Linked DNA regions of Macaca mulatta. The protein of the gene in region 2 interacts with the protein of the main gene of each other region in a pairwise test. Links are inferred from orthologs where the notes say so. Each region holds a gene or a part of one and is shown on either strand. Other genes may lie near its edges.

The links.
Region 1: the proteins of TECR (region 2) and HACD2 interact in binary tests that used the Homo sapiens proteins (3 or more experiments, as listed by UniProt). The link is inferred for Macaca mulatta from reciprocal best matches to the Homo sapiens genes TECR and HACD2.

The regions. Positions count from the first base shown.
Region 1 is NC_133407.1:160,174,768-160,191,366, reverse strand, and holds the start of HACD2 (very-long-chain (3R)-3-hydroxyacyl-CoA dehydratase 2), read right to left. Parts: upstream 9,360-16,599; 5' UTR 9,348-9,359; coding exon 9,193-9,347; intron 6,642-9,192; coding exon 6,524-6,641; intron 1-6,523. UniProt on the Homo sapiens protein: Catalyzes the third of the very long-chain fatty acids (VLCFA) elongation four-step cycle (condensation, reduction, dehydration, and reduction).
Region 2 is NC_133424.1:15,172,899-15,188,627, reverse strand, and holds the end of TECR (very-long-chain enoyl-CoA reductase), read right to left. Parts: intron 14,105-15,729; exon of another isoform or gene 13,618-14,104; intron 11,611-13,617; coding exon 11,560-11,610; intron 10,929-11,559; coding exon 10,877-10,928; intron 10,478-10,876; coding exon 10,433-10,477; intron 10,336-10,432; coding exon 10,232-10,335; intron 10,154-10,231; coding exon 10,038-10,153; intron 9,953-10,037; coding exon 9,847-9,952; intron 9,345-9,846; coding exon 9,272-9,344; intron 9,181-9,271; coding exon 9,137-9,180; intron 9,064-9,136; coding exon 9,006-9,063; intron 8,931-9,005; coding exon 8,842-8,930; intron 8,500-8,841; coding exon 8,454-8,499; intron 8,374-8,453; coding exon 8,246-8,373; 3' UTR 8,137-8,245; downstream 1-8,136. Other genes in the region: NDUFB7 (NADH dehydrogenase [ubiquinone] 1 beta subcomplex subunit 7), read left to right, coding at 2,194-2,305, 7,210-7,378, 7,854-7,986. UniProt on the Homo sapiens protein: Involved in both the production of very long-chain fatty acids for sphingolipid synthesis and the degradation of the sphingosine moiety in sphingolipids through the sphingosine 1-phosphate metabolic pathway.

The DNA.
Region 1 (16,599 bases), on a different chromosome or scaffold from region 2:
CCAAAAGTAAATAAAATTTAAAACTCAGTTCCTCAGACCCACTAGCCACATTTTAAGTGACTAGTGGCTACTGTTTTGAACAGCATTCCAACATTATCACTGCAGAAAGTCCTATTGGACAGTGCTAGTTTGAAAACTTGGTTAATTTTATTTATTTATATAACAGTTACTCTTTGATAACAGCTAACTACTCTGATTAAAGTTAAATACTCTTTGATAAGGTGCTTTCAAAGTTCCATTAGTTTTTCTAAGTGTTTTCAAAACGTTTCCAACTGTAGGAAATTGCATGGTCTGTTATCCAGGAACCTAACGTTTCCTACTAGCTTCACGGGGATTATTTCTTCTTTCAGGTTTAAGGTCCCAAGTTGTTTTTAACTATTACATTTTAAAATCTGCTCTTTTCTGCTGGAAAATGTTTAAGGAAGGGAAGAAATTTTTTTGTTGTGGAACACCATAAACTCTCACTAACCATAGTGAGGTGGCCTTTCAGTTCAGCAAAGTTTTCTGTAACTTTTCTCCCTGATTATTTACAAGCTGTATATTCCAACCTTTTCTACTTCTTCTGGTAGTCTTACTTTTTGAAAGCTTATACACCCTTATCAGGTTTTCTAGATACACTGGTTCTATACATATTGTTTTTCTGTTACAATGTTTTGTAATGTTTCTTTTACATGGTGAACTGTGAAAATTTCCCTATGACTTCTGTTCTGCAATTGATTTTATATGAGAATGCGATTGGGAACTCCTGCCTTTTTTGAATCTTCAGTATCACCTATTTCTTGCACTGTGGCTCCTTCCTGCCCTACATTGCCACCACTGATATTTTTAGTTGTTTTTTTTTTAATTTCAGCACATTCCTTTCTACAGATGTTAGCTATTGCACCTCTTGAATACCACATCAATTTGCTTCTATTTGCTTGAGTCACCAAGCAGTGAGTTCTGTGTGGGTGGGTTCCTGTTTCCTTCCGGCTCCCTATTCCCTTCTAATGTTGTGACACTTATTAATTTTAATCAAGTTAGCGTTTTCCTCTGGTTTTCACACTGTTTGAGAAGTTGGTTTTTCTGGGATTTGTTGTCATTCCTATTTGTGTTAGATATCTCCACTATGACTTGCTCTTGCTAGCTTTTCAAAAGCCTCTTTTAGAGATGTGTCTCCTCAAAATGGGTCCAGAATAAAAGGAGCCTAACATATGCATGTAGCTTGCTTTTTAGAAGTTCCTTTTTGAGATTATTATTGGGAAATCAGAATGTTTCCACAAGAAGGAAAAATAAAACAGACAATGGTTATGTCCTCAAACCAGTTTACAAAAGCAGTCTGAAGCGCTATACCTCCATGGCAAAAATCAGTTAGTGTTTGAGCCATAAAGAAAGAAAAACTGGCAGGGAGATAAGAAGGGATCTTTCTTCTTAAGGACACTGCAAGTTCCTAAGACTTTGATATATTTTAGAGAAATACCCCAAATCAGTTTCCTATTCATTAAAGGATCTGAAGAGCATTGTGAGGTGAGGTCTGAAGAGTGAGACCGGACCACACAGATGGGGCCCAGAAAGTGGTGGTGGGGTTAGAAGACTAACAAAAGCTGTCTGCTGTCTCTCACCACTTCTCCAGACCCTGTCCTAGATCAATTCAACACTATCAGAAATGAGATTGGGTTGTTTATTCATTTTTGTAGATAAGGGGTTTTAAGTAGAAGAAAGATCTGTAAGAGAATGGGAAGGAAAGGGAGTTCCTGTGGTCCATCAGGCAGTCCCAGATACACAATGGTAGGTAAATGACATATACAGCAATGTAAATACGTTGAAGATAGTCTGTAACAATCTCAACAGTTAACCTCTTTGCAGAGCAATCTTTAACCCATTTGAAATCTCACTGTCAATTGCAGAGGTATATCCAATCATGAGTATTTGAAAGTGTCTTTGCTATAATTACAGTCTTATGTTAACCAAAGATATTGAGAAACCCAAATTCTCTCAGACACAATTTTAAACTGCCATAACTGCATCAATCTACTAATTTTTAATCTAACTATACTTGACAAATACGCAAAGATAACATCTGCCTTATCAATGAATATCACGGACTCCAAAAAATGAATAAAGTAGAAAACATCCACAGCTCATTACAGAGGAACTTGTTTTTTAAAAACTGACATAGAATTCACATGCCACAAAATTCACAATTTTAAACTGTACAATCCAGTGGTTTTTAATATGTTCACAGAGTTGTGCACCCACCACCACTATTTCAACAACAATATCACCACCTTAAAAGGAAATCCTGTACCATTAGCAGTCACTCCCCACATCCCCTAATAATTCCTCTACTTTCTGTCACTATGGATTTGCCTTTCTGGATATTTCATATAAATGATATCATACTATTTGTGACTTTTTGTATCTGCCTCCTTTCACATGCATTTTTTTCAAGATTTATCCAGGCATAACATATATCAGTAATTCATTTGCTTTTATTAATTTTATGAATGTTTATATCCATAGATCACATTTTATCCATGAGTAGCATTTTATTTATATATACTGTTTTTTTTTGGAAATGGGGTCTTGCTCTGTTACCCAGGCTGGAGTGCAGTGGCACGATCATGGCTCACTGTAGCCTTGAACTCCTGGGCACAAGTGATCCTCCGGCCTCAGTCTCCTGATTAGCTGGGACTACAGGCATATGCTACCATGCCTGGCTAATTTTTAAATTTTTTGTAGAGATGGGGTCTCGCTATGTTTCCCAGGTTGGTCTTGAATTCCTGGCCTCAAGCAGTCCCCCCATGTCAGCCTCCCAAAGTGCTGGGATTACAGGTGTGAGCCACGGCACTCAGCCAGGCTTCCTTTTGTACCTCACTACTACATGCTCCTTTGTACTTGCTTGGTAAATGTTTTTATGGCTTTTAAAAAGCAAAGTGTTATTATTTTCCTAAGAAGATTTGAAATTGGAGAACAAGTAATTTCGATTTCCTTTTTAAGTAAACTCCCACAGAACCTAATAAAGAATAACATTTAGCATAGAGAGATATAAATGAGTAGCTGCCTTCCCTGGATTCATTTTCTCCTCCTGTAAACAGGATATACTGTCAACACTAATAATTCCCATCGGGATAACTTATGTGTAATTAAACAATATCATACACATCTAATTATTACACAGCATAGATGGGGTAGGCAATGAAAAGCTCCTCAACCACAGAAACTGTTGTTTCAGCAAGCCTGCTCTAACGCAGTCCAAGGGATTACTTCCATCACTGACCTTTGCAATGTTAATTGCCTGCATGTTCCTGGGAGTCGTCACTTCCTTATGCAGACTTTTTCCCAAAATCAAATCCAGGATTTGTCACTTAATTGGTTCTTAGCGGGGATAACAGAGATAAAACCAAAAATCCAAGATATTTTCCTAAATCCCTATTAAAAATTCTATAAGGATAAACAGGCTAATCCTTCAAAGTCTAAGACTTGGTTCCTGAGTGGATTTTAAAGTATGACACTGTTTAATGTCCCTACCTTCCATAAGATATACTTAAATTTCAAACATTATACTTCTAACATTACCAAGTGTTTTTTTTTTGCTGGTTTTTTTTTTTTTTTTTTGAGACAAGGTCTCACTCTGTCATCCAGGCTGGACTGTAGTGATGCAATCATAGTTCGCTGCAGCCTCAAACTCCTGGGCTCAAGCTCATGCCTCCCATTTCAGCCTCCCAAGTAGCTGGGACTACAGGTACCCACCACCCAGCCCAGCTAAAAAAAAAAAAATTTTTTTTTTTTAGAGACGAGGTCTTGCTATGTTGCCCAAGTTGGTCTCGAACTCTTGCCCTCAAGCGATCCTGCTGCCTTGGCCTCCCAAAGCTCTGGGATTGCTGGGATGATAAGCATAAGCCACTGTGCTCAGCCCTAATATTATGATAGAAATAGAAACCCCTTTAAATTATTGAAGTATTCCAATTGGGGACAACCCCCTACTATATCAAGTACTGGGAGTCTGATGGTCTTGACTCCAAATTTGCTTCTCTGTAGCTTGAGGGAACTGTACTGGCCAAGGCTCTGAGATAGAAAGTACTACTTATTTACTAGTGTCCCCTTCCAAAAAAAGTTCAAGCCTCTAAGTTTAAAAAATGGTTCACATTAGGATTTATTAAAATTTCCTCAGACTCAAATGGTTAGGGTAGTAAAGGACTTTAGAAATCTACTTTAACCTAATTATTTTACAAATGAAAAGGAGGTAGATAAGAGAGAAAAGACTCGCCCAAATCTCTAGAGTCAGTTGGGAAAACTATTATACTTAAAATAAAAAAGGTACTCAGGCTTCCAGCTGGAAGCGCATTTCATCATACCACCTACTTAAAATGTCTAAGTATGGACACTATTGAAATTCCTCTGTGTTGCAGTGAGCCGAGATCTCACCACTGCACTCCTGCCTGGGCAACAGAGTAAGGCCCTGTCTCAAAGAAAAAAAAAAAAAAGAAAAGAAAAGAAAGAAAGAAAAAAAGAAACTGCCTTCTAAGAGAAAAAAACAAAAGCAAAATGGATAACTTTCTGATTTAGAAAGTGAGAGTGGATCCCACCTGGGTGACACAGCCAAACCTCATCTCTACCAAAAATATACAAATGAGCCAGGCACAGTGGTGCATGCCTGTGGTCCCAGCTACTTGGGAGGATAAGGTGGGAGGATGGCTGGGGCCTGGGAAGTCGAGGCTGCAGTTAGCAGTGATCACACCACTGCACTTCAGCCTGGGTGACAGAGTGACCCTCTCTCAAAAAAATAAATAAATAAAGTGAGAGTGGGCTGGGTGCAGTGGTTCACGCCTATAATCCCAGTGCTTTGAGAGGCTGAGATGGGAAGACTGCTTGAGCTGAGGAGTTTGAAACCAGCTTGGACAACACAGGGAGACTCTGTCTCTACGAAGTTTTAAAAATTAGCCATGTATGGTGGTGTACACCTGTGGGCCCAGCTACTCTGGAAGCTGAGGTGGGAGGACTGCTTGATCCCAGGAGTTCAAGGCTGCAGTGAGCCATGGCCATGATTGCACCACTGCACTCCAGCCTGGGCGACAGAGCAAGACCCTGTCTCAAGAAAATAAAAAAGAGTGAGAATGAAAGGTAGAGGTATCACATTTCATTTCATGAGATAAACGATTTTTACTTTTTTTCTTTTTTTTTTTTTTTTTTTTGAGACAGAGTCTGGTTCTGTCGCCCAGTCTGGAGTACAAGTGGCGTGATCTCGGCTCACTGCAACCTCTGCCTCCCGGTTCAAAGCGATTCTCCTGCCTCAGAATCCCCAGTAGCTGGGACTACATGCGTGTGCCACCATACCCTGCTAAGTTTTATATTTTTAGTAGAGACGGGTTTTCGCTATGTTAGCCAGGATGGTCTCAATCTCCTGACCTCGTTATCCGCCTGCCTCGGCCTCCCAAAGTGCTGGGATTACAGGCGTGAGCCACCATGCCCAGCGAGATAAACGACTTTTTCTTAAGTATCATTCGATAGTTCAGGTTTTAAAAGTTGCCAGTAAAGTATAAATGTCAAGATGGTCGTGCCTGGAGGCTAAGCAAAATGAACCAGATCTTCCCTGCAATCTGAAGGTTTTTCACCATAATGAACTACGGCGGCTATTGATAGCCCAAAGCTATCCCCATTCCTCTTTTCCATAAACAAAGTCTATAGTCCCTCAGAGAGAAGAATGGGTATGTGTCCTAAGATTGGCTAATCAAGCACCTCACATCACTGGCACAGTCTAAGTAGGGCCAACCAGAATCCTCCCTGGGAACTATGTGACACAAATGCTGAGAAAAATAAACACCCTCCCTGTTTCCCACCATGTGGAGAGCCCAAGACCAACATTCAAAGAGAAACAGACAAGCAGAGATGAGAGAAAGCAAGAGAATCTGGCAGCATCAACTCCTTGGTTCTCATTCCTGAGCTAGTTTTTTGTAAATTAATCCTGTATCTGTATCAACTACAGAGGCCAGAAAATTCCTTTTTTGCTTAAAATAGTTTGAATTGGTTTTTGTCCCTTGCAATTCCAAAATGCTAATCTATACTTACCCCAAGAGAGAGGGCTGGATATACACTGCCCTTAATGCAGGGAAATCAATACATTTTTGTTAAATTTTTAAAATTTGGATGCCTTTAGACAGGCTCTCTATTATGTTTTCTATCTATCACTCCCAATATCCTACACCCACCAACTTCACTATTTCTATTACATAAACCCTGAAAGCATCTGATTTTGCCAGTGCTTCCTCAGGATGTCCCTAGAATTTTTTAAAATCCTAATACAAGCTTGTTTCAGTTGATTTTCCAAAGTCGAATACAAAATATATTCAAGGTAATATAAGTTAAATGAGATTTTACCCAATCTAGAACATCAAAAAGCCTAGGTATCAACACTTTAGTACGTGAGGAGGCAAAATTTCAAAATTTAACACGAATCCAATGGAGGTATGCTACTTCAATATAATTTAGTTGCATTTTTTTTTTATACCAATGGAAATCAATAACAACAATAAATCTCAGGACCTACCTCCAATAAGGCTCCAGTTTGAAAGAATTTCAAAGGCTTTTCAATTGAATAATAAAGGCTATGGTAGCTACCCTTAGCCAGGTATGCTCGGACCAGACCAACCGCTATAACCAGCCACCTAGTAAAAGAGAAAAGAGCAATCAGGAAAATATAAAAATAAAAAAAGTAGGATTTAGGTTAATAGACAGCTGTGGCAATAAAAGATATTGCTAAAGGTGACCTCAAGCATCAGTAATCTGGATTTATGGATGATAGCTCTCAAATGCCAAGCTGTAATGCACTGAAATGTTGCAACACTAACAGCACCTTACCAAGAGGGCTCAGTGAAAGCATAGTGGCACCTCACCCATCTGGAGCTCATTTTTTTTGGCAACTTTGCTATTGAGAACAAGGCCAAAAGGAAAGAAATAAGCTAAAATGGTCCTTGTGCCACTAAATTAGGTGCCAAGAAAATCTAAGACGAGAAAAAAATAGTTAAAGGAAAATTTTAAACAGCCTGTGCAATTAAAGGGTTTTTAATAATTATAGGGTAGAAAGAAGATCCTTTAAACTATTTTTATAATTGTCTCACTGGAACAATTACCCATACCTTAAAATCTATCCTTTTAAAATTAAGAATAAAGGGCTCTTGTTAAAAAAAAAAAAAAAAGGTTTTTAGCCAAATTTCCCGAAATCAACTCAGAAATGAAAGCCAGATCAATACAAATCATAAAACAGGAAAGCACTTAAGCATACAGCCGTGAATGTTATATTTTTGTTCCACTGTCCTTCTCAAAAATAAACATAATGTTTTGTTAAGTTCCATAATAAAACAAATGGACCTTTTTATTAAGGTATGTCTCCTGGAAGGATTTAGATCAATGTATAGTATCAACTAGGCAATGGGGTGTGTGTGGTCTATGCTATTTCCAAAAACTATCATATAAGGACATCAAATAAGAGTTTGTAAAAGAAGAAATTATTTAATGGTGTAACTGGTATAACCATTAACAGCCTTTTAAAAAAAAAAGCTTACTTTGCTCTCACAATCCCAATTTATCTTCCTGGTTTAAGACACCACTCCTTACCCTCCACCCAATTCTCTATGTTCATTGCTCAGGAATAGACTTCTTTCTTCTTACCAATGTACCTTAAAATCCCTCTCCAGTCCAATGCCCTCACCAGCCCTTGCTAAGACAACAAGAATTACATATATAAATATTAATACACACAGAGAGATTCCTGGATGTTCTTTTAAAAATCAATCTATGTGACCACTGATGTGATATAAAGCTTGTATCTGTACTAGTTCTTCATTGACCTGTGAGTCAAAAGAAATGATTTCCAGATCCGGAACTTCTACTAACAAGTTCTATGATCTCATGCAAGTCACAACTTCTCTGAGCCTAGGTTTCAACACTTACCATTTCTAATACTAGCAATACATGTATGATCCTCCCACGATGTCTTTTCTTTTTTTTTGGAAAAAAAAGCAAGGTGCTGAATTGTAAAAATAATAATATATTGGCATTTGTCTTATTTTAAAAAGGGGTAGGGGGATGTATAAACATATTTGCTTGCATCAGCATCTTAAGGATATACAAAATTAACTGCCTCGAGGGAGGGGATCTGGGTAGAAGGGAAAGGTGGGAGGAAAGATTTTCACTGTATTCCCTCATGTTTTTCATTTTGAACCCTGCCAATGTATCACCTACTTTAAAACTAAATAAAAATGGATATTCACTATACAATTCTTTCAACTCTTCTGTATGTTTGAAATTTTTCATAAAATGTTAGGACTTCTTTAAAAATTACAAATGAAGATAACTTAAAAATATATAACAAATTGTCTGATCCTGTGATCCTCCTCACCAAAATGACGAGATAAAGAATTGCAGAGCTGAAGGAACCTTCATCACCCAGCCCAACCCTTCAGTTTTACAGATGAAAACACGGAGGCTAGAGAAATAAGATGATTTATCCAAAGTCACACAGCTAGTTAGTGGCAGAGCTTGAACTAAAAACCCGCCGGGATAAGGGATGGACTAAAATGAGGGAGACAGAAGATGGGTAAAACCGTTTCGAGGGTCTATTCTCCCCCTCTCCAGTAACTCTGCCTTCTACTCCCCAGCTTCTTCTCCACCCCAACCCATCCTGAAAGTCTGAACTCATCTAAAACTCAGCTCTGCTTATGTCGCTGGCCAAAAACTTTGAACTCTTTCCCAATACCTTTCTGATTAAAGCGCAGTCCAGATTTTGAAAACAGCCGCCCAAATGAATGGTCACCCTGCAGCCACAGCTCCTCCACTCCCTAGGCTGGCGCCGTTCACCATCCGAGCCTGGTCGCCCGGGATGGGCTCCGCGAGGCAGGTCATCCGGCCGCCGCCCCGGGCCCCGCACCTGTGGCCAGCCCCACCTTTTCTCCCGCGGCCCTCGCGAGCCAGCGCCCGGCAGCCGTCCCCGCGCCCCAGTGCCTGGGAACTTGGCTCGACCCCCAGCGCAGGAGGGAGCTCGCGGGCAGCCACCGGGGCCGATTCAGCGCTCGGCCGCCCTCAGCGACCAGGTGCCGGGTCCCGGGCACCGCCCGCCCGGGATGCACTGCCTGCGGCGGGCCGCGCCGCTGGCCGCAGCGCTCCCTCCCCGGCCGCGCTGGCTCCCCGCCTCCCCGCCTCCCCGAGCCCCAGACTCACCCGGCTGTCATCACCACATTGTAGATAACCAGGTACGCCGTGGCCAGGGGCCCCGGGCCCTTCTTCTTCCGCGTGCCGCTGGCGTCCCCGGCCCCGGCCCTGCCACCGCCGCCCCCATTCCCCTTCGCCGCTGCAGTCGCCGCCGCTGCCGCCATGTCAAGTGCCCGAAGCCCGCTCTCGCAGCGCGAGCGGCTCTGGCCGGACTGTACGAGGCGAGGGGGCGGAGGGAGGGACGAGGGAGAGGCGGGGCCGGGGCCGCGGGGCGGAGCCGGGACAGGTCCACGGCAGCCGCCATCTTGGCTGAGGGCAAAGACGCTCCTGGCGCTTCCGTCCCTCGGCTTGCCTCAATTGCCACTGCCATTTTGGATCAGGGTAATTCCCGCCTCTTGCGCGCTCCCGGTTACAACCTCGGCGCCATCTTGGATTAGTTCAATGTGGCCACCCTCGCCAGGCCTGCTGCCTCTGCCAGCTGGATGTTGCGTCGTCTCTCGCTATTCGCCCTCCTGTAATCACCGCCTCCATGTTGAATCAAAACAATTGTGCTTTCGTTCTCCGTTCTTCAATGGCCCTACCTTCACACCTAAACACTATCGCTCCGGTATCCTGCCATTTTGAATCAGGGCGGTTGACGGTGGATTCACTTCCCATCAATCCTTGAGGCTGCATGGACCAGCCCTTTGCTAGATGCGCTTTACTTCCAACCCGTAGCCGGGTTGGAGATTCCACCTCCGAAGTTTTCTTTCTGACTTTTGATTTTACATTCCTAGTACAGTGGAGAAGCCCAGGAGGCCTAGAATCCAGTGTCGTCCGTGAGGTTTGGGCAGGTGTTCAAGTGCATCTTGCAGCCTGAGACCACATGGACTCGCTCATCGTGAGGGCGAGAAGAGGATAAGCCCATTGGGCTGTCGGCTGAGAGTGAGGTGCGGGGTAAGGGAGTAGATTTATAGATATAGTGACTAAAAATAAAAGGATGTTGGCTTAGGTGGAAAACCTGTCTGCTTTGGGAAGCTGGAGCAGCTTGTGGGCACTGCTTCAACCAGCTGACCCCACTTTCCATTTTGCTTTGTTTCAGGAGGTTCTTTATTTGTAAACGTCCCCTGCAATTTTTTACACACCCAAGCAGCTCCTTAAATGTATTACTGTATATGTGGTAGTATAAAATATATATGGGTTCATTCCAGCAAGTACTTATGGAGCGTCCACAAAGTTGCCCTGGAGTTCATGGCACTAAGTGAAAGAGACAAAGTCATCGGTCTCCCAGGGATTATATAGAGCAGCGGCCCCTAACTTTTTGGGCACCAGGGACCGGTTTCGTGGTGGGGGATGGATGATGGTTTCAGGATGATTCAAAGGCATTACATTTATCATTAGATTCTCATAAGGAGCATACAACTTAGATCTCTCCAATGCGCAGTTCACAATAGGGTTCACTCCCCTCTGAGAATGTGATGCCACCGCTGATCTGAGGGAGGCGGAGCTCAGGAGGTAATGCTCCCTTGCTTGCTGCTCACCTCCTGCTGTGCCTCCTGGTTCCTAACAGGCCACGGACTGGTACTATCCGCAGCCTGGGGCTTAAGGACCCCTGAGGGAACCAGACGAAAATGCTCGTATTAGTTGGTGAGAAGTGGTATCAGGAAGTTATTACAATAATCCAGCTATAGTGATAGTGGTGTGGGCCAGAGTGGTGGAGATCGAGGTGATGACAACAACAATGAATTCTGGGCATATTTTAGAAGTAGAATCATAAGATTTGTGGCTATATTAGTTTTGGAGTGTGAGGTCAAAGGCATTTTGAGCAACTTGTAAGAAACTGTTTTTAAGGCGGAAGTCAGGAATTTTGTTTTTTATATGTTGAATTTGAAATCCTTATTAAACATCCAAGTGGAGAGGCTGGATAGACAATTAGATTTAGACCCTGAGGTTCGGGAAGGAAGTCCAATGGGCTGGAAATATAAATTTGAGAGTTGTCAACCTAAAATAATAAAAAAGGTAAGAATCTAGTTGAAAGGAAGTTTATTCAAGCGTAAACGTTGAAGATGGCTACCTGGGAGTGTAGATTCAAGTTACCGTAAATATACACTCTGATTAGCAGCAGTTATGAGTGGGTTTTTAAAGGAAAAAGAGGCAATTTCTAAGTTGTTTACTAAGAATTTACATTAAAATTACATTAGCTATTGATTGGCTATAAACTATTATTTGTATCACAGATTCCAGGAACATGAAGATAATGGGTGAGGCTCAGAATGGGTGAGGTGAGGAACAGAATGTCTAAACAATTGCCCCCAGGCAAACTCCTGTTTCTCTGGGCCTGATAAGTTTTTGCATACCTCACATAGCTCAGACAGCTCAAAGCTGTTAGAGCCATTTATCTTTTCTCAGAGTTCTGAGGGGGGTGGTGGTATTTAAATCCATGACACTGTAATCACCCAATACGTTCTTCCTGCCCACTGCACAGACAAAATCAATTCATGGAGACCATGGCATTGCAATAAAGAGTTTAATTGACATGAGATGGAGTTATTACTCAAAATCTCCCCCAAAAGTCAGAGGCTAGGGTTTTCCAAGAATAGTTTGGCTAAGATCTGAGAGCTGTAGTCAAAAAACACACACACACACACACAAACAGTTTGGCAAACAGGAAGCTGGAGGAATGGGTGCTGCTGATTGGTTGGGAATGCAATTATAGGGATGCAATTAATGGGTGCTGCTGATTGGTTGGGAATGCAATTATAGGGATGTGGAAAATGGTCCTCCTGCACTAAGCCTGCTTCTGGGTGGAGGCCACAGGACTGGTTGAGCCAAGAGTCAAAGGTCCCAGTGGGGTCGTTGGCCATCCGAAATGCAGAAGCCTGAAAGGTTATCTCAAAAGGCCAATCTTAGGTTCTACAATTGGGAGAGCTGCAAATCTTGTGACCTCTGCAATAGTGGCTGGTAATCTATTTAACTTAACGAAGCCTATGTCTTAGCAGAATTCAAGCTCCTCTTATCCTTCTAACCTGGTGGCTTTTCATTAGTTTTACAAAAGTGGTTTAGTTTTGGGGAGGGGCTATTATCACTTAAACTATAAACTAAGTTTCTCCCAAAGTTAGCTTGGTCCAAGCCCAGGAATGACCAAGGGCAGTATTGGAGGTTAAAGGTGAGAAAGGAAAACGCCAGATTCACTGAGCCAAAGGGAAAAGTCAAGCTGGGAACTGGGTCACACAAACCTGCCTCCCATTTGGTTCCTAAATAAGATGGCTACAAAGATAAAAGCTATATACTTCCCTCACATTTTGCCCACAAGTAAATTCCTTTTAGGCCCAAAGATCTTTACTCTAAAACAGTTCTGTTGAATTTCAACCTGGCAATATAAGTTGATGTCTTCACAATTATGAGACATAGGACAGAACTCAAGGTTTTCCCTCTGCTCACCTGAGACAAATGCATATCTGATTGCTTCCTCTGCCCTATTGTCTATGTTATCTTATGTAAAAATACAGATTAACTGAGCCAGATGAAGGCATGAATATTTCCTCCACACCCCCCTCACATGAAAATTGTGTATTCAAAAGGATGCAACTGTTTTGTCTTTTTATCTACTGACACAATTTAAAAATATTTTTCAGCTGGGTGCAGTGGCTCATGCCTGTAATCCCAGCACTTTGGGAGGCCAGGCAGGCGGATCATGAGGTCAGGAGTTTGAGACCAGCCTGGCCAGTATGGTGAAACCCCATCTTTACTAAAAATACAAAAATTAGCTGGGCGTGGTGATGCACACCTGTAGTCCCAGCTACTTGGGAGACCAAGGCAAGAGAATCGCTTGATCCAGGGATTTGGAGGTTGCAGTGAGCCAAGATTGCGCCGCTGCACTCCAGCCTGGTGACAGAGCAAAACTCCATCTCAAAAAAAAAAAAAAAAAAAAATTTATCTTCCCCCAATATCCACCCTTTCCCCTTTAAGTACTGAAGCCCTCAAAATAATCTTTGGAGATAAGCATATACCTGCTTCCCTGGCATGCATCCTTTACTATGGCAAATAAACCTCCTAAAATGATTGAGACTTGCCTTGGTCATGTTCTTTGATTTGCAGAGGCAAGATGGGGGCTGGTTAGATCAGATCTCTTTCAGTCATAATTTTCTCACTGTTATAATTCTTGCAAAAGCAGTTTCAAGACCTCAAGAGATGAAGTGAGAGGTATAAATTGACAATTGTCAGGGTCCCATCCTTTTCCACCATTGTTGCAGATTGTTTAGAGATTCTGTTGCCTCTGTTCCTTGTTCAGGAAAACAAGGCAGTTTTCCTGAATTTTTTCTTTTTTTTCTTTTTTCTTTTTTTTTTTTTTGGAGACAGAGTCTTGCTCTTGTCCCCCAGACTGGAGTGCGATGGCACAATCTCAGCTCACTGCAACCTCCGCCTCCCGGGTTCAGGCGATTCTCCTGCCTCAGCCTTCCAAGTGGCTGGGATTACAGGTGCCTGCCCCAATGCCTGGCTAATTTTTGTATGTTTAGTAGAGACGGGGTTTCACCATGTTGGCCAGGCTGGTTTCGAAGTCCTGACCTCAGGTGATCCACCCACCTCAGCCTCCCAAAGTGCTGGGATTACAGGCATGAGCCACCACGCCCGACCTTCCTGAATTTTTTAAAGTGCAAGTTGGTGAGCCCAACTTGCACACTGTAATCAGAGGGCAAAACAATTTCTTTGCAAAAGAAATAAAGAAGTGAACCATTTTACAAAACCAAATAATCATTCATCTGAAAGCTTCTTTCATTCATTTGACTGATTTTTTTTCCAATATAATCTACTTAATGGGAAAGTAGGAGGAGGCAGGAGTGCATACAGTTCTGTTCAGTTGGAAGTCAATTTAAAACTCAATGTATCTTCTTTCAGTCACTTCAGCCCAATTCCAGGCTGTTCTTTACAGCAGCGATCTCCAACCTTTTTGGCACCAGGGACTGGTTTCATGGAAGACAATTTTTCTGTGTACTGGAGAGGGAATGGTTTCAGGATGAAACTGTTTCACTTCGGATCAACAGGCATTAAGTGGAGCATGCAACCTAGATCCCTTGTATGCACGGTTCACGATAGGGTTTGTGTTCCTCTGAGAATATAATGCTGCTGTTGATCTGGCAGGAGGTGGAGCTCAGGTGGTAATGCTCACTTGCCTGCTGCTCACCTCCTGCTGTGTGGCTGGATTCCTAACAGGCCATGGACCTGTACCAGTCTGTGGCCCAGGGGTTGGGGACCCCTGCTCTACAGTATAGCCAGAGTGATCTTTTTCACATACAAGCTTGTTAATGTCTACTACCTTCCTCTACCCGACCCCCTAAAGATATTTAAATGGCTTTTGATGACACTTAGGATAAAGCATATAATATTTAATGTGGTATACAAAAATCTGCATAGGCTAGAGCCTACCTGCCTCCTCAGACTCACCATGCCCCTCCTAGTCATACTGGCCTCATCTTAGGTCTTCCATCAAGCAATACTCCTTTTTTGCCTCAGGGAATTTGCATGTGCTGTTCCAGTCATGCCTTCCCAATAGTCCCCCAAAGTTTTAACTCATTCCAGCATTAACTCAAAAGTCCAAGTTCAAAGTCTGATCTGAGACAAGGCAAGTCCCTATCACCTGCAAGCCTGTACAATCAAAAACAAGTTAGTTACTTCCAAGATACAATGGGGGTATAGGCATTGGGTAAATGTTCCCCTTCCACATGGGAGAAATTGGCCAAAACAAAGGGCCCACGCAAGTCTGAAACCTGGTTGGGTAGTCATTAAATATTAAACCTCTTAAATAATCTCCTTTGACTCCATGTCTCATATCCAGTGCATGCCGATTCAAGAGGTGGGCTCCTAAGGCTTTGGGCAGCTCTGCCCTTGTAGCTCTGCAGGGTACAGCCCCCAAGGCTGCTTTCATGGGCTGGAGTTGAATGCCTGCAGCTTTTCCAGGTCCAGAGTGCAAGTTGTTGGTGGATCTACCATTCTGGGGTCTGGAGGACAGTGGCCCTATTCTCACAGATCCACTAGGTAGTACCCCAGTGGGCACTCTGTATGGATACTCCAACCCCACGTTTCCCTTTTCTGCTGCCCTAGTAGAAGTTCTCTGTGAGGGCTCCGCCCATGCAGCAGACTTCTGACTGGACATCCAGTCATTTCCATACATCCTCTGAAATCTAGGCGTAGGTTTCTAAACCTCAGCTCTTGGCTTCTGCAAACTTGTAGGCCCAACACCACATAAAAGCTGCAAGAGCTTGGGGCTTGCATCCTCTGAAGCAATGGCCCAAGCTGTACCTTGGCCTCTTTTAGCCATGAGCTGGAGTGGCTGGGACACAGGGAACCATGTCTTGAGGCTGCACACAGCAGTAGAGCCCTGGGCCTGCCTAGCCCAGGAAACCATTTTTCCCTCCTAGGCCTCTAGGTCTTTGATGGGAGGGGCTGTCCTGAAGATCTCTGAGATTCCCTGGAGACATTTTCCCCATTGTCTCAGCTATTAACATTCATCTCCTTGTTACTTATGCAAATTCCTGCAGCTGGCTCAAATTTCTCCCTGGAAAATGGGTCTTTGTTTTCTACTGCATTGTCAGGCTGCAAATTTTCCAAACTTTTATGCTCTGCTTCCCTTTTAAACATAAGTTCTAATTTTAGATCATCTCCTTGTGAACGCATATGACTGTTTGCTTTCAGAAAAAGCCGTGTGACATCTTGAATGCTTTGGTGCTTAGAAATTTCTTTGCCAGATACCCTAAATCATCTGTCTCAAGCTTAAAGTTCCACAGATCTCTAGGGCAGGGGCAAAATGCTGTCAGTCTCTTTGCTAAAGCATACATAGCAAGAGTGACCTTTCCTCCAGTTCCCAATAAGTTCTTCATCTCCACCTAAGACCACCTCAGCCTGGACTTTATTGTCCATGTCACTATCAGCATTTTGGTCAAAATCATTTAACAATTCTTCAGGAAGTTCCAAACTTCCCCATATCTTCGTGTCTTCTTCTGAGCCCTCCAAACTGTTGTGACCTCTACCTGTTTCCCAGTTCCACACTTGCTTCAACATATTCAGGTATCTTTATAGCAGTACCCCACTCCCAGTACCAATCTTCTGTATTAGTCCAGTTTCACACCTCTATAAAGAATACCTGAGACTGGGTAATTTATAAAGAAAAGATGTTTAATTGACTCACAGTTCTGCATTGCTTGGGAGGCCTCAGGAAATTTACAATCATGGCTGATACAATTAGGCTGTGTTTCCACCCACATCTCATCTTAAATTGTAGTTCCCATAATCCCCATGTGTTGTGGGAGGGACCCAGTGGGAGGTAATTGAATCGTGGATGTGGTTACCTCTATGCTATTCTTGTGATAGTGAGTGAAACTCACAAGCTCTGATGGTTTCATAAGCATCTGGCACGTCCCCTGCTTGCATATCTCTCTCCTA
Region 2 (15,729 bases):
TGGTCACTAGACCAGCAACTTCACATCACCTGGGAATCTTTATAGACAGGGTCTCACTCTGTTGCCTAGGCAGGAGTGCAGTGATGGGATCACGGCTCACTGCAGCCTGGAACTCCTGGGTTCAAGCAATCCTGCCTCAGCCTCCCGAGTAGCTGGGACTACAGGCGTGCACCACCGCACCTGGCTTTTTTTTTTTTTTTTTTTTAGAGACAGAGTCTCCCTATATTGCCCAGGCTGGTATCAAACTCCTGAGCTCAAGTGATCCTCCCATCTCAGCTTCCCAAAGCTCTGGGATTACAGGTGTGAGCCACCGTCCTGGTCCATTTTTTTTTTCCATTAGACTGTTTTTCTGTCCCATTAGACTGTAAGCTTGCAAGGCAGGAACCATGTCTGCCTGTCTGACCACTGGACCCAGCATACAGTAGATGCCTAATACATGCTTTGTCAGATTGGGGGAAAATATATATTAGATATTAATATTATATATAATATATATTTTAAAATTATATAAAGATTACATGGATATATATAAAATCAATATAATTTATTTAAAATTTCAGCTTTAAATAATTGTTTTTGGCCGGGCACAGTGGCTTACGCCCATAATCCCAACACTTTGAGAGGCTGAGGCAGGAGGATCCCTGGAACCCAAGAGTTCAAGGTTACAGTGAGCTATGATTGTGCCACTGTGCTCCAGTCTAGGCGACAGAATGAGACCCTGTCTCAAAAAATAATAATATAATAATAATTGTATTTATGAATAACTTTTATTTAAATCAAATTTATCAAAATATTTCTTGGACAGGCGCGGTGGTTCATGCCCGTAATCTCAGCATTTTGGGAGGCTAAGGCAGGAGAATCACTTGAGGTCGGGAGTTCAAAACCAGCCTGGCCAGCATGGCAAAAACCCCCTCTCTACTAAAAATACAAGAATTAGGCCGGGCGCGGTGGCTCAAGCTTGTAATCCCAGCACTTTGGGAGGCCGAGACGGGTGGATCACGAGGTCAGGAGCTCGAGACCATCCTGGCTAACACGGTGAAACCCCCTCTCTACTAAAAAATACAAAAAACTAGCCGGGCGAGGTGGTGGGCACCTGTAGTCCCAGCTACTCGGGAGGCTAAGGCAGGAGAATGGCGTAAACCCAGGAGGCGGAGCTTTCAGTGAGCTGAGATCCGGCCACTGCACTCCAGCCTGGGCGACAGAGCGAGACTCCGTCTCCAAAAAAAAAAAAAAATACAAGAATTAGCTGGGTGTGGTGGCTGACGCCTGTAATCCCAGCTACTCAAGAGGCTGAGACAGGAGAATCATTTGAGCCCAAGAGGTGGAGGTTGCAGTGAGCGGAGATGGTGCCAGTACACTCCAGTCTGGGCGACAGGTACTGTGTCTCAAAAAAAAAAAAAAAAAAATTATTAAAGTAACTTTATTCAAAAGTACATACATTAACGATATAATCGATATTGCGCCTTTTTTTTTTTTTTTTTTTTTTTTTTTTGAGACTCTCGCTCTGTCGCCCAGGCTGGTGTACAGTGGCGCGATCTCGGCTCACTGCAAGCTCCGCCTCCCAGGTTCACGCCATTCTCCTGCCTCAGCCTCCTGAGTAGCTGGGACTACAGGCGCCGCCACCACACCCGGCTGATTTTTTATATTTTTAGTAGAGACGGGGTTTCACCGTGTTAGCCAGGATGGTCTCGAGCTCCTGACCTCGTAATCCGCCCACCTCGGCCTCCCAAAGTGCTGGGATTACAGGCATGAGCCACCGCGCCCGGCCGATATTGTGCCTTTTTTTAAGAGAAATTTTAATGTTTTAGAAGAAAAAACTTTTTGGAAAATGATATGAAAAATAATTTTAATACGTGCTTTAGCCTCGGGCTACCAGAAGAGCCCCAGATAGGGTCGAGGGAGGCCTCAGTCCTACATCTTCCCCTTCTACTTTGCCCAGATGGATTTCCACGCTCAGGGAAGTCCCCTCTCGGGTCCAAGCACATCCTGCGAGGGGACGCAGCACTTGTCCCGCCTCCGCCTGTCCGCGAGGTGACGCCAGGCGGACCGGAGCGATCCTCTGGAGTCCTTCATCTCTATGCTCTCCGCAGCCGCCTAAGCGACCCGGAAGCCGTGTCTAGCTGAGGGGTCAGTGGTTCCGGGTAGGAGCTGGGTGACCCTCGGCTGCTGCAGGAACCTGCAGCGACTGCAGCCATGGGGGCGCACCTCGTCCGGCGCTACTTGGGCGATTCCTCGGTGGAGCCCGACCCCTTGCAGATGCCAACTTTCCCGCCCGACTACGGCTTGCCCGAACGCAAGGAGCGCGGTGAGGCCCAATGCGCAGGCGCGACCAGAGGGCGTGGGGCGCGGGCGCCTGACCCCCGAACCCCTGGAACCCCAAGACTGGGCTCTAACCTCAGGTGTTGTGTCTGGGTTTGGGTCTAGACTAGGAGTCCAGAGGACGTGCGTGTCCCCGCCTGAGGGTGGAGGCGTTCCAGGCCAAGGGCACGGCTTGAGTAAAAGCCAGGGTGCAAAAGTGAGACAAGTAGGGGATCGGGCAGGAGTGCGGCGCGCAGAGCTCAGTCGAGTCTTTTTTTTTTCTTTTGAGACAGAGTCTCGCTTTTTCTTTCAGGCTAGAGTGCAGTGGCGTGGTCTCGACTCACTGCAGCCTCCACCTCGCAGGTTCAAGCGATTCTCCTGCCTCAGCCTTGCGAGTAGCTGGGATTACAGATGGGCACCACCACGCCCGGCTGATTTTTTGTATTGTTAGTAGAGACGGGGTTTCGCTATGTTGACCAGGCTGGTCTTGAACTCCTGACCTCAAGTGATCCGCCTGCCTCGGCCTCCCAAAGTGCTGGGATTATAGGCGTGAGCTACCACTCCCGGCTTCGGGCCGAGTCTTGGGAGATGTGGGGAGTCACGGGAGGGCAGGGACATGTTCATTGTACCCCTTTCCTAATGTCGCTGCAATTGTGGTGCATGCACAAGAAAATAAGGAAGATTCGCGCCGCGAATACCGTCCTGCAAAGTGCTTTGTTTTGCTTTGAGATGGGATCTTGCTCTGTTGTCCAGGCTGAGTGCAGTGGTGCAATCACAGCTCACTGCATCCTCGACCTCCTGGGCTCAAGCTATCCTCCTGCCTCAACCTCCCGAGTAGCTGGGACTACAGGAGCGTGCCAGGATGCCAAGCTGATTTTTTATTTTTTGTAGAGATGGGGGTCTTGCTGTTGCCCAGGCTGGTGTCAAACTCCTGGGCTCAAGCGATCCTTCTGCCCAGCCTCCCAAAGTGCTGGGATTGCAGATGTGAGCCACTATGCCCAGGATGGTTTTTTGGTTCATGTTTGTTTTTGCTTTTAATGTAGTAATATCACAGGCATACCGAGAGCCAGCTCTGGGCCACCTCCCACATTAGGAACCGCGGATACAGCAGGGAACTGGAAGGATGCAGGCACTGTCTCCAGAGAACTCACAGCACAGTGGGAAGGATTGTGGAATCAGGCAGAGCTGGATGGTGTCAAGGCAGGCTTCCAGTAGGCAGAGACTGGAAACAAAGACGTGAAGGGTGGCCAGGCACGGTGGCTCATGCCTGTAATCCCAGCACTTTGGGAGGCTGAGGCGGGCAGATCACCTAAGGTCAGGAGTTCGAGACCAGCCTGGCCAACATGGTGAAATACTGTCTCTACTAAAAATACAAAAATTAAGGCCGGGCACGGTGGCTCATGCCTATAATCCCAGCACTTTGGGAGGCCGAGATGGGCAGATCATGAGGTCAGGGATTCAAGACCATTCTAGCCAATATGGTGAAACCCTGTCTCTACTAAAAATACAAAAATTAGCTGGGGGCATGGTGGTGCGCACCTGTAGTCCCAGCTACTCAGGAGGCTGAGGCAGGAGAATCACTTGAACCCAGGAGGAGGAGGTTGCAGTGAGCTGAGATCACACCACTGCACTCCAGCCTGGGCAACAGAGCAAGACTCCATCTCAAAATATATATATATATAAAAATTAGGCTGGGCACGGTGGCTCACGCCTGTAATCCCAGCACTTTGGGAGGTCAAGGTCAGTGGATCACCTGAGGTCAGGAGTTCAAGACCAGCCTGGCCAACATGGTGAAACCCTGTCTCCCAAAAATACAAAAATTAGCCGGGTGTGGTGGTGCGTGCCTGTAATCCCAGCTGTCTGGGAGGCTGAGTCAGGAGAATTGGCTGGAACCCGGGAGGCAGAGACTGCAGTGAGCCGAGATCGGGCCACCACACTCCAGCCTGGGTGACAGAACAAGACTCTGTCTGGAAAAGAAAAAAAAGATGTGAAGGGCCACGAGTAGGGGTTGACCAAAGAGAGGTGGCAGAGCCAAAACTTCTAAACAGAGGAGGGACACAGTCAGGTTTGGTCAGTCAAAAGGTCCCGCTGTCTGCTGAGCGGGCGACAAGCTTGAGACAGACACCTCTAAGCAGCCTGGATTTGAGAGAAAGTTGGGAGATGGTATAATCGCTCCAGTGTCCTCACTCCAGGCAGTCTTTCCGCCCCAGCTGAACCTGCAGTCCATTGGTCCGTCCACCTCCCTCCCATTGCCTCACATACCTTGCTTTGCCCAAGATCAGCTTTGCAAACGCTAGCAACCTGCTGCCCTTCTCTCTCGCTTACTCTGGATAAACTCACCTCTTTCCCTTCCTTGGCGCCTATCCCCATGCAACTGAACATGATGCGGGAGAGATCAGAAAAAAACAGCTCTAAGCTAGGCAAAATGGCTCATGCCCAACGCTTTGGGAGGCCAAGGCAGGAGGAGTGCTGGAGGCCAGAAGTTCAAGAATAGCCTGGGCAACATAGCAAGACCCTGTCTCTACATTTTTTTTTTTTAATTAGCTGGGTGTGGTGGCACATTCCTGCAGTCCCTGCTGACTGGTCTCCCGATTGGTTCTCCAGTGGACTCTTCATGCTGCCTGGCCTTTCTATTACCTCCTGGATCCTTCACTCTCTCCCTCCCTCCTAGACCATTGTCCCCTGCCCTCTCTTTCCTCCTTTCCACCCCCTTTCAGCCAGTCACTTTGCTAACTGCAACATCCGCCTTGCTGGTTCAAGCAGTTCTCCTGCGTCAGCCTCCCGAGTAGCTGGGATTACAGGTGCGCACCACCGCACCTGGCTCATTTTTGTATTTTTAGTAGAGACAGGGTTTTACCATGTTGGCCAGGCTGATCTCGAACTCCTAACCTCAAGTGATCCACCCGCCTCAGCCTCCCAAAGTGCTGGGATTACAGGCATGAGCCACCACGCTCGGCCCATATTTATTTATTTGTTTATAGAGATGGGCTCTCACTCTGTTGCTTAGGCTGGAGTGCAGTGGTGCGGTTACCACCCACTGCAGCCTCAAACTCCTGGGTTCAAGCGATCCTCCCAAGTAGCTCTGCCTTCTCTGTGTGCACCACCGTGCCCAGACAGTTTTATTATTTTTTCTAGACATGGGATCTTTCTGTGCTCCCCAGGCTGGTCTCCCTAATACTTAAGCACTGCCAGACACGCTGTGGTGCTCTGTCTTCTGTCTGTTCTGTGTCTCCCTCCGAGGGCAGGGACCCTTGTGTGTTGTGTTCCGTGCTGTATCCCCACCACTAAGCACACAGTAGGCGGTCTAAAGTCCTTGCTGCTAGTTGATTATAAGTTTGAGACAAAAGAGGGAGGAGTCTAGGATTGCCACCTGGAGCTCCAAGTGCAGATAGGGAACAGCCAGGGGCTGCAGGTGATACCCAGGCCTAGGGCTCAAACGAGGTGTGGGGTGGAGGGACCACATCGGACTCATCTACCTAAGGGGTGGCAGCAGAGAAAAAGGATCTCAGACTGGGCGTGGGGGCTAGCACTTGTAATCCCAGCACTTTGGGAGGCCAAAGTGGGTGGATCACCTGAGGTCACGAGTTCGAGACCAGCCTGACTACCATGGCGAAACCCTATCTCTACTAAAAATACAAAAATTAGCCAGGCGTGGTGGTGGACGCCTGTGGCGTCCCAGCTACTCGGGAAGCTGAGGCAGGAGAATCGCTTGAACGTGGGAGACAGAGGTTGCAGTGAGCTGAGATCTTGCTACTGCCCTCCAGCCTGGGTGACAGAGTGAGACTCCATCTCAAAATAAAAGAAAAGAAGAAGGCTCTCAGAACAAAGCTTAACGCAAGGCAGCCATAGAGATGGGAGGAAACCTGGGAAGGCGGGATGTGGGAGGAGCCACAGGAAAGAAGGAAGTGGGAGGCTGGGGTCCTGGGCTGTTGGGTGGCCCTGTGAGAGCCCCTGTCTGGGCAGTGAGAGGGTGGGGCAGAAGCCAGAGAATGGAACAAGGGGCAGGAGAGGAGGACCTGGGCCTGAGTGGGATGAGGGAATCACGGCTGGGAAGCAGAGGGGAGAGAAGCCAGCCTGGGATGACTGCCATTGAGATGTGAGTATGTCTCCTCTCACTTGCGCAAATGGGAAGGAGCTGGGACTAAGAAAGATGTGGACGTCAGGAGGGCTAGGGAGGCTGGGTCTGAGGGAGGCAGCGGGGAACAAGTGCAGGATCGCCAGGCACAGGCTCCAGGGTGAATGTCCAGGGTTCCTCAGGCTCCCATCAGCCTCCTGAAGGTTGATTTGTCCGGAGTCAGGTTTGCTAGGTGAGTGCGGCACCGGGACCCAGATACTAGTCCAGCTGTCTTCTGAGCCCACGCCTAAGTATCTTACAGGTACTGTTAGCTCAGTGGATGCTCAGGTAACTTCCATGAGCTGATGGTCAGTTCTGAGGCTCAGAGAGAGGCCACGCCGCCGGCCAGTGCAGAGCCGGGACCCGGGCGGGTTGCAGACAAGAAAGGCTAGGAGTCTGACTGGAGCTGCAGGTGCGGGTGGAGTCTGAGGGGGTACTCTGGGAGAAGGTGGATTCTGAGAGCGGGGCTGTAGAGAGTTGGGGACGGGCATCCCTGCGGGAGGGGAGGCAAGGATCCAGCGCAGGATGTTGAGGTGCCTCAGGGTGATGGGGAGCCACCTTCTCCTATCTGGGCTTTCGTGTCTGGAGTTGCCTTTGTGCAAATTAGAAAAGGAGGCCCCTTCAGGACAGTGCGTCCATCAAAGGCATCTGCCATCCACTACCATCTGCCACCTGGATGTTAATGGGGGACACCCCGAGCCGTGGCTTCCTGATGCCGTGTGCCTGGGTCCCCTGGGGATCCCTGGAATTGGGGTGGGAGGCCTTCAGCCTGGTTGAGCCCTGCCCACTCGCTGCAGAGATGGTGGCCACACAGCAGGAGATGATGGACGCGCAGCTGAGTCTCCAGCTGCGGGACTACTGTGCCCACTACCTCATCCAGCTGCTCAAGTGCAAGCGCGACAGGTTCCCCAACTTCCTGGCCTGCAAGCAGGAGCAGCACGACTGGCACTACTGCGAGCACCGCGAGTGAGAACTCCCACACCGGCCCGCAGCACCCCACACCCCCAGCCTTCCACAACCCTGGCCCACCCAAGCACCCCACACCCCCAGCTCGCCCGAGCCCCCTGCCAACACCCACAGCCTGCACCCCACCCAGGCCCTGGCCCCTGGCAGGATGTGGCTCCAGAGGCCAGAGACCTGAACTGCCACTGAGGTTTCTAGCCGGGCCCCACCTTAGTCCCAGAGAGGGCTTTCTAGGGGCCTGTTGGATGGGGACAGGGCAGGTGGCTGAAGCCACCTAGGGGAGTGGCCAAGCCCAGGTTCCAGCGGGAAGCCCTATCATCTGCGTGGACAGACCCCAGACCTAAACCACAGGCACTCGGGTCTGTCTTCTTCAGAGGCCTCCCCCACAGTGCTGTGGGACAGCCCCTCTACTTCCCAGGGCTTGGAAGGCGTGTCCTGGCCAGCGACACTGACAGCCCCTCTCATGCTTTTCCCTCAGCTATGTGATGCGCATGAAGGAGTTTGAGCGGGAGCGGAGGCTGCTGGAGCGAAAGCAGCGGCGGGAGAAGAAGGCGGCAGAGTTGGCCAAAGGCCAGGGACCCAGGAAAGTGGACCCCCAGGTGGCCCTGTAGGGGGTGCACCCCCCACCCTATGGACCAGTCAAATAAAAACCTTCAGGCCCCTCACCAGAGTCCCCTCTTACGGCGCCAACGCGAGGGTGGGGAGAGAGCGAGGGGCATGTGGTGGTCCCCAACCTCGGACAGAAACACACAGAGCCCGAGTCCGACAGGGGCAGGCGGGGTTTATTCCGGGTGCTGGAGAGCTGCGGGCCCCACTCCTCCCCCAGAATGCCACCCGGGTGAGGGGCTGAGCCCCAGCAACGGTGAGCGCTCAGAGCAGGAAGGGGATGATGGGCATGCGCAGGGGCGGATAGTCCCGGAACTCCTTCAGGTAGCTGCGGTGCTTGCCCTTGGCCCAGATGGTCATCTGGGTGAAGCCCACCAGGGAGAACAGGGCCACTGCAGGAAAGAACGGGCGTCAAGGAGGGGCTGCAGGCCCGGAGGGGCAGGGCCCCGCCGAGGGAGGGCGGCAGGCTCACCTGGGAGACACTGCGTCATGATGGCGAAACCGATCCAGGACCCCACCTGTGGGCAGGGGCGGAGGGTGAGGGTGGGCAGGGCTGGACAAGGCCCGCTGTTCCGCCAGTCTCGCACCCTGTGGCTGTCCTGGACTCAGTCACCCACGTCCCCCAGCCCCTGCTTTCTGAGTCAGGGATGGGAACCCAATTCCAGTGGAAGCGGGGCTGTATACTGCGAAAACCCAAGGGCACATGCCTCCCGGCCCCCACAGCAGGGAGGCCGCGGTCTCCACCTCCCAATGCTCCCAATGCAAAAGCAGCTGCCCAGCCAGGCGCCCCCTCCTAGGGGCTGGCCCCTCCACATGGGACCCCAAGTCCCAGGGCAGAGAGGGGTAAGGCAGCCCCTCACCTCGTAGGTGTAGTTGGGGCAGGACACCAGCAGGAAGAGCCACGTGAAGGGGTTCTTGGTGGGGTATGGGATCTTCCGGGTCTTGGACCCTGGCAGGCAAGACAGGAGAAAGTCAGACCCCCTCACCCAGCCCAGCTGTCCCCCTGCCCCCAGCAGGCACTCACCAGCGGGCCGCAGGTCCCGCAGGGCCATGTGGATGGAGAAGTTGCCGAGCTGGCAGATCTGTCAGAGAAGCAGGATCAGCCTAGGATCGCCCAGATTTCCCCCACCCCGTCCCCACACCCAGCCTCCTTACCACAAAGATGGCGAGCGCCAGTTTCACCTGCTGAGCTCCGTAGGCTGCAGAGGAAGCAGCGAGGGGAGGCCCATGAGGGGAGGACCCGGTGGGTGGGGGCCGTGGGGGAGGGAAGGACGGTCTGAGGCCACTTACTAGGCGGCGTGTAGAGAGGGTGGTTGATGTAATAGGCCATCCACGCGGCGAAGCCCCAGTAGTAGGTGCAGTTCTGAAAGGGAGCGGGGTAGGGATGGGACTTGTCAGCGACGGGCAGGGCGGATTCTGTCTCATCCATAGGGCCCTAGGAGCACGGTGGGGAAGGGCAGGAGGGGCCTTGGGGCGGGGCTGGGGAGGATAGGTGGGGCCAAGGAGTGAGGCTAGGGCAGGGCTCTATGAGGGCGTGGTGGACAGGAGGGGCCTAGGGGTGAAACTGGGGCAGGGTTCTGCAGGGGCGGGGCTGGGGAGGACGGGCAGGGCCTAGAGGCTCTGCGGGGGCGGCGCTGGGGAGGTTAGGCGGGGCCTAGGGGTAGGGCTCTGCGGGGGCGTAGTGGAAGATAGGAGGGGCTATGGGGTAGGGCTCGATGTGGGCGGGGTGAGGCGGAAAGGCGGGGCTCAGGGGTGAGGCGGGGCTCAGGGGTGAGGCGGGGCTCAGGGGTGAGGCGGGGCTCAGGGGTGAGGCGGGGCTCAGGGGTGAGGCGGGGCTCAGGGGTGAGGCGGGGGCGGGCTCTCACCTTGAAGATGTTGCGCAAAGGCATGGTGCCATGGGAGAAACGGTGCACGAAGAGCGTCTCCAGCAGGCGCTTGACGTAGTGGAATGAGTGGCAGATGCAGGCGAGGCTGGTAGGGGGGAGCAGGCTCAGCTGGGGGCTGGTCCGGCAGGTCTTCTGCCTTCCCCTACCCTCCTCCCGCCTGCCCCACTTACTGCACCACCGTGTGCCGACTGGACGTGAAGTCGTATTTGTGGCCATAGATGAAGGGCACTCGGAAGTAGAAGAGCAGGTAGATGAAAAGGGGCCCTGCGTACTCTGTTAGGAAGACCTGAGGGTAGAGGGAGGCAAGTTGAGTCACCCAATGTGGCTGATGGGAAAGGAGGCCGTGGGTAGGGTCAGGACTCACCGTCACCCAGCTGATCTGGGCCCCCAGGTCCCGGAAGTAGAGCGTGGCCGTGGTGCCCACGGGCAGCTTCTGTAGAATATCCTCATCCTTCAGGGACTTGCCCTCTGCAGAGAGGCGGGCCAGGGCTCAGGGGCTGCCCGGGCCTTCTCCCACTGCCACCCAGGAGCCTAGGGGGCGGGCCGAGCGGACAGCTGTACTCACTGGGGTCCAGGCGGAGGGACTGGCGGGCGGGGTACCATTGCGGATCTGGGGGAGAACAGGGCGGTTACAGCCCACAGACTGGCAGGGCTCAGCCGGTCCGCTGCCCAGTCGCTGTGCCAGCTTCTCAGGGTTCCCAGGGTGCAGGGACCCCAGGACTCCACAGCTCCTCCCACCCGGAGGCCAAGCCTCAGGCCTGTGCAGTTCCAGGACACAGGCCGGAAGAGCGCGGGCAGAAGCAGGATCTTGTCCTTCCCAGAGCCTAGCAAGGGCGTTCCTGTGGCGTGCCACGTGGGGGCGCCTGCCCCAGTCACGCCCCAGAAGCCTAGGCCACGCTCGGGCATCTCTGCAGGCCCCTGGGAGAGGGGTGCAGGATGGGATCCCTCCCACCCTAAGGTCCCTGGTCAGAGGGGTTGCAGGGGCAGTGTGGCCAGGCCTAGGACTCACGGGTCTTGGTGAAGAGGTTCTTGATCTCCGCAATGGTGGCGTGGGGCTCCACCTGGAGGAAGCACAGGCGCAGGGAGGTCAGCTCTGCAGGGAGCCCAGACCCAGGATGGGGAGGTAATGAAGGGGATGGCAAGCTTGGGGTTGGGCTGCAGCTATGGGAAGGGGGAAGGGCTGGGGTCTGGAAGGCAGAGGCCTGGACAATCAGGGAAGAAGCAGCGAGGGCCCTGCCAGTGCAGTGACAGCAGGGGTCTGGGGCTCCAGTTTTACCCTCAGCCAGCAGGCCCCCAGCCCAGCTAGTGGCAGATTAAGCAAGGGAAGGCAAGCCTGCTTCTCTGCCCCTCCTCTCTACTCCTCACCCATGACTCCCCCAGGCGCAAAGGCCCTCTTTCCTCCCCAGGGACAGGCCAAGCCCCTTCCCTCAGGGGCAAGGCTCAGCAGGGGCAAGGCTCAGCAGGGGCAAGGCTCACTCCTCCACCACCCTCCCAAGACCAAAATCCCCGCAGGGTCTACTGAGACTCCCATGCCTCCATTTCCCCGCCACACCCAGGGGACGGGGCTATCTACCCTACCCCAAGTGAGGGCATACCCCTCCACAGGGCCCCACTGGACAGCTCCTGGGCTGGAAGGAGGGGGGTCCTGGACCCAGTGCCCTTGGCCCAGTGCAGCCCATGTTCCGGTCCTACCTTGTCCAGGAAACACAGCTTCTCCCTTGTCTTTGCATCCAGAATCTCCACCTCGAAGAAGAGAACAGCCTTTTTAGGTTTCTTGGCCACCTTTGGGGGTGCGGGCCTGGGGAGCCCATTGAGGCCAGGGAGGAGACCTGGGGTGGCCTCCCGGGCCACCAAGTTCAAGCTCATGTCCATGCCGCCTGCCACCAGCCCTGCCGCTCGGCTCTGTCCACGGTGGCCAGCAGCCCCAGCTGCCAGCCGTCAGCCCCCACCACCGACCTCCCCACGCGAAGCAGCCCTGGGCCGGGCAAGCGCGATCAAATTCTGCCGCGGTGCTGGAAAGGAGCCCGTGCCGGCCCTGGCACTGCCGGCTTCTGTGCCAGATGTAACCCGAGTGGCAACCACAGCCACAGCCCAGCTAAATATAAAACCAGCCCGGACTGCGCCCCCCTCCCAGGAGCCGTGCCACAGACCTTCTCTGAGGGGGGTTTAGGAGGTGACCCCCGGGAGCCAGGCTGCCCTGAAAGCAGTTTTTGAGGGGTCACAGTCCCTCAACAGCACCAGCACAGGGAAAGCCCCAGGGGCAGCCATGGTGACACCTCCCAGCCCCCACCCTGCACAGAGCCAGCGGCCTGAGGAGAGTGAGAGGCCAGCAGGCCGTGCAGGCCCCAGCTCACAGCTCAGGCCTAGGGAGTTCACTGGGCTTGGAGAAATCCCAGCTATTTTGAGAATCCACGAGACAGATCATCCATTTCCCCTTCGGAGCTGTAAGAGACACTTCGGATTATTTTCCTTGTGCATTTGTGTTACCAGGGAGGTGACAGATTCTGGAGTTATGGGTGCAGAGAGCCTCTCTCAAAGTGTGGAAAGGATCGGGGTGCTTGGAAGTTTTAGGCAAGCGCCTCCAGTCTGGGCTGAGGAGGCCTCCCCGACCTTCCTCCCCACCCACTTCTCACCTTGTAGCCACCTGTGAGGCAGGCTTCCCACTGAGTCAGCCCAAACACTGCACCCCTACCCAGGACCTGCACCCCGCTAAAGCCCGGCGCTTCCTGCGTCCAAGAGCTAGGCCTGTGCCAGCCCCTGAGGGAGGAGTCCGGCCCAGCCCTCCCTGAGCCCCCAGGCCAGTGATGAACGATGGGGGTGCAGAGGGGCAGGGCTGGAGGGAAGCAGTCCCCGCGGATCTGACCCACCCTATGCAGGGGTCAGTGCAATCCTATCACACAGGGGTCGTGGCAAGCAGGCAGGCCTGATACCAAGTCAGCCACCGGCCAGCAATTCTTGGGGGACCCTTCCTACCCACAGAACCCCCAGCGGGGGCCCCCAGAGGCTGCCTGAGGAAAAGGAGCAGGACATAACGCTCAGAAACAAACCTCTGGGCCGGGGTCATCCCAGGGCAGGTCCACCCACCCAGAGCCCAGGGAGACTGGGCCATGGCAGCTAGGGCCCACCCTGCAGGAGAGGGCACCACGGTCAAGCCAGAGAAGGTGGGCACCCCTCCTGCACACTCCCAACGACAGTGGGAGACAAGGGGGCTTGGTGGCCTGCACTCGGGAACCGTAACCAGCCCTGCCTTGTAGTCCCTGGGGGACCCCAGGCATGTCACCTCTCTCTAGGCCTCAGAAGGGGGCAGGTAGGAAGCGGACTACCTCCCAGGACTGTGAGGGTCCCCTGCAATGGTGCGTGGGGTACACTAGGTGACCCCTGACAGATGGGCACACCCCATGGGATGGGAGGTGTTGTTGCCTGGGGGTTTGGTTCAGATCCCCACTCCCCTGCTGGCCTGGCGGTCACCACACCATGGGGGCCTATTTCCCCAGCTATGACACACTTGCCCCCACTTCCTGGACAGGAGGGTGGGAATGGGCCCAGCAGCCAGGAAATTCTGGCCCATGGGGCCTCCTGAGTCCCTGCTGTCAACTCCAGGCACTGCCTGGCCATGTGGCCTCTAGGGGAAGGTTACTGAGCTCCTCCAAGCCACAGCGATAACAAGGCCAAAGAGCTGGCACATGGAGGGGCCAGAAAAAAGAGCTCGGTCACACCACGCGGGACGTCTGACCCCACCAAGGGGATTTGTGGGAGAGGGACAGAGGACAAGGGGCGGGATGCACGGGAAAGGGTTAGCACAGCAGGGCCCTGGGCGGGCACAGGGCCTGGCCTGTGGCTGCAGGTATATTAATAGTTCCCGGGCCCCAGGCAGGCAGTGCCCACATGCTTCTGAGCCCGTGTGGCCCGCAGGAAGGCAGCCCGGCGTCCACAGGGAGAGGAGGCCTCCGAGTTCCTGCTGAACCACTCAACAGCTTAAAATACAACCAGCCCCTCTCCCTGTCCAGCCAGCTGCTAGGGGGAGGGGTGAAATCCTACCCTGCTCCCCCCAACCTGGGCACCGAACCAGGGCCCAGGAGGGAGAGTACGGCCATCGGGGTCCCGGCTAGCTGCTGGGAGAGGACGCCAGGCTGCGGCAGGAGGGGGCGGCCGAGAGAGGGGCCACACGCACAGCTGCAGCAGCGGCGACCAGGCCAGCCTGAGCCCAAGGAGAGGAGACGCCCGAGCCTGCAAAGAGGTAAGCCCGGGCTGCAGGGGACAGGAATGCCCATGGCTAGGGCCACCTGGGCAGGATGAGTCCTCAGTGGGACGGCTGCCCTTCTCCCGTTTCCTGCCCCAAATCCCCAGCTCATCGGCCATCTCCTCCTAGAGAGAGGACAGAAAGGCTCTGGGGGGAGCATGGGACCTCTCCATACTATTTTTGCAATTCCCCGTGTCTCTATTTTTTTTTTTTTTTTTTTTTTTTGAGACGGAGTCTCACTCTGTCACCAGGATGGAGTGCAGTGGTGCGATCTCGGCTCGCTGCAACCTCCACCTCTCAAGTTCAAACAATTCTCCTGACTCAGCCTCCCGAGTAGCTGGGATTACAGGCACACACCACCACATCCAGCTCATTTTTTGTGTTTTAGGAGAGATGGGGTTTCTCCATGTTGCCCAGGCTGGTCTCAAATTCCTGAGCTTAGGCAATCCGCCCACCTTGGCCTCCAAAAGCGCTGGGATTATAGGCGTGAGCCCACCTGGCCCGGCCTATAATTATTTCTAAGTAACAAAGTTAAATAAGATATTCCAGGTGGGGTAAAAGAAATAAGTTACGCTAAGTGAGACAAGCCAGACACAAAGGGTCCCATATCTATGTCAAATGCCCAGAGCAGATGACGGGCCAGGGGCTGGGCGGGGGCAGGGGAATGGGGAGTGGCTGCTGCTAGGTCTTCTTTCGGAGTGAGGACAATGTTCTGGAACGAGACAGAGGTGGAGGCTGCATGATGCTGCGTGTGCACTCAATGCCACTGTTCACTTTTAAATCGGTTAGTTTCATGTTACGTGAATTTCACCTCAATAAATTATTTTAACAAACAGGCCCCAAATACCCATCAAAATAAAAACAGTCGGGTGGGAGGAGCAGGAGAGGTTCCCCACCCCCAGAGGGAGGGCTGAAGTGAGACCTCATCAAGGCCTCCGCGCCCCACATCCCACTGCCACTGCAACCTCTGCTCTGTGCCTGCCACACATACACACACACACACACACATATATATATACACACCTGCCCAGGCCTGAGGCCAGCAGCGGGCAGGGGCTCCCAGGGGAAGCCCAGGGCTGCAGAGGGCACAGGCAGCTGCTGAACAGAGCCCCAGGCAGGGGGTCCTGAGCACAGACAGGGAGGCGGCAGGCTCTGGCCCCATCTCCAGGAGAAGCGGTGAGGCAGGGAGGAGAGGCAGGCCCTCCTGAGGAAGCCCACAGAGCCACGGGGCTGGGAGGGGCTGAGATGCTCTGGGCGGATGAAGGGATACCTGTGGGAGGGGGCTACTGGTGTCAGCAAAGTCCCAGCACTGGCCATGGGCATGGGGTGTGATTCCATAGCCTCAGGCACGATGGGCAAGGAGAGGGCAGGAATAGGCGGGCAGGCAGGCGCTCTGGCCTGGGGCACGGGCTGGTGGCTCTGCCGGCCTGTGGCTCTGTGATGACAGTTCCACTAGCTTGAGAGGAATTCTCACCAGGAGGCCCAAGATTCCCGGGCCCAGCCAACAGCAACTCGTGGCAGCACAAGGTCAGGGCAGGGCCAAGAGCCAGGACGCAGGGTGGGGCGCGAAGCCCACCCTGCAGGAGGGGAGCAGGGGCGAGGTTTGTGCCTCCCAAGCCCGG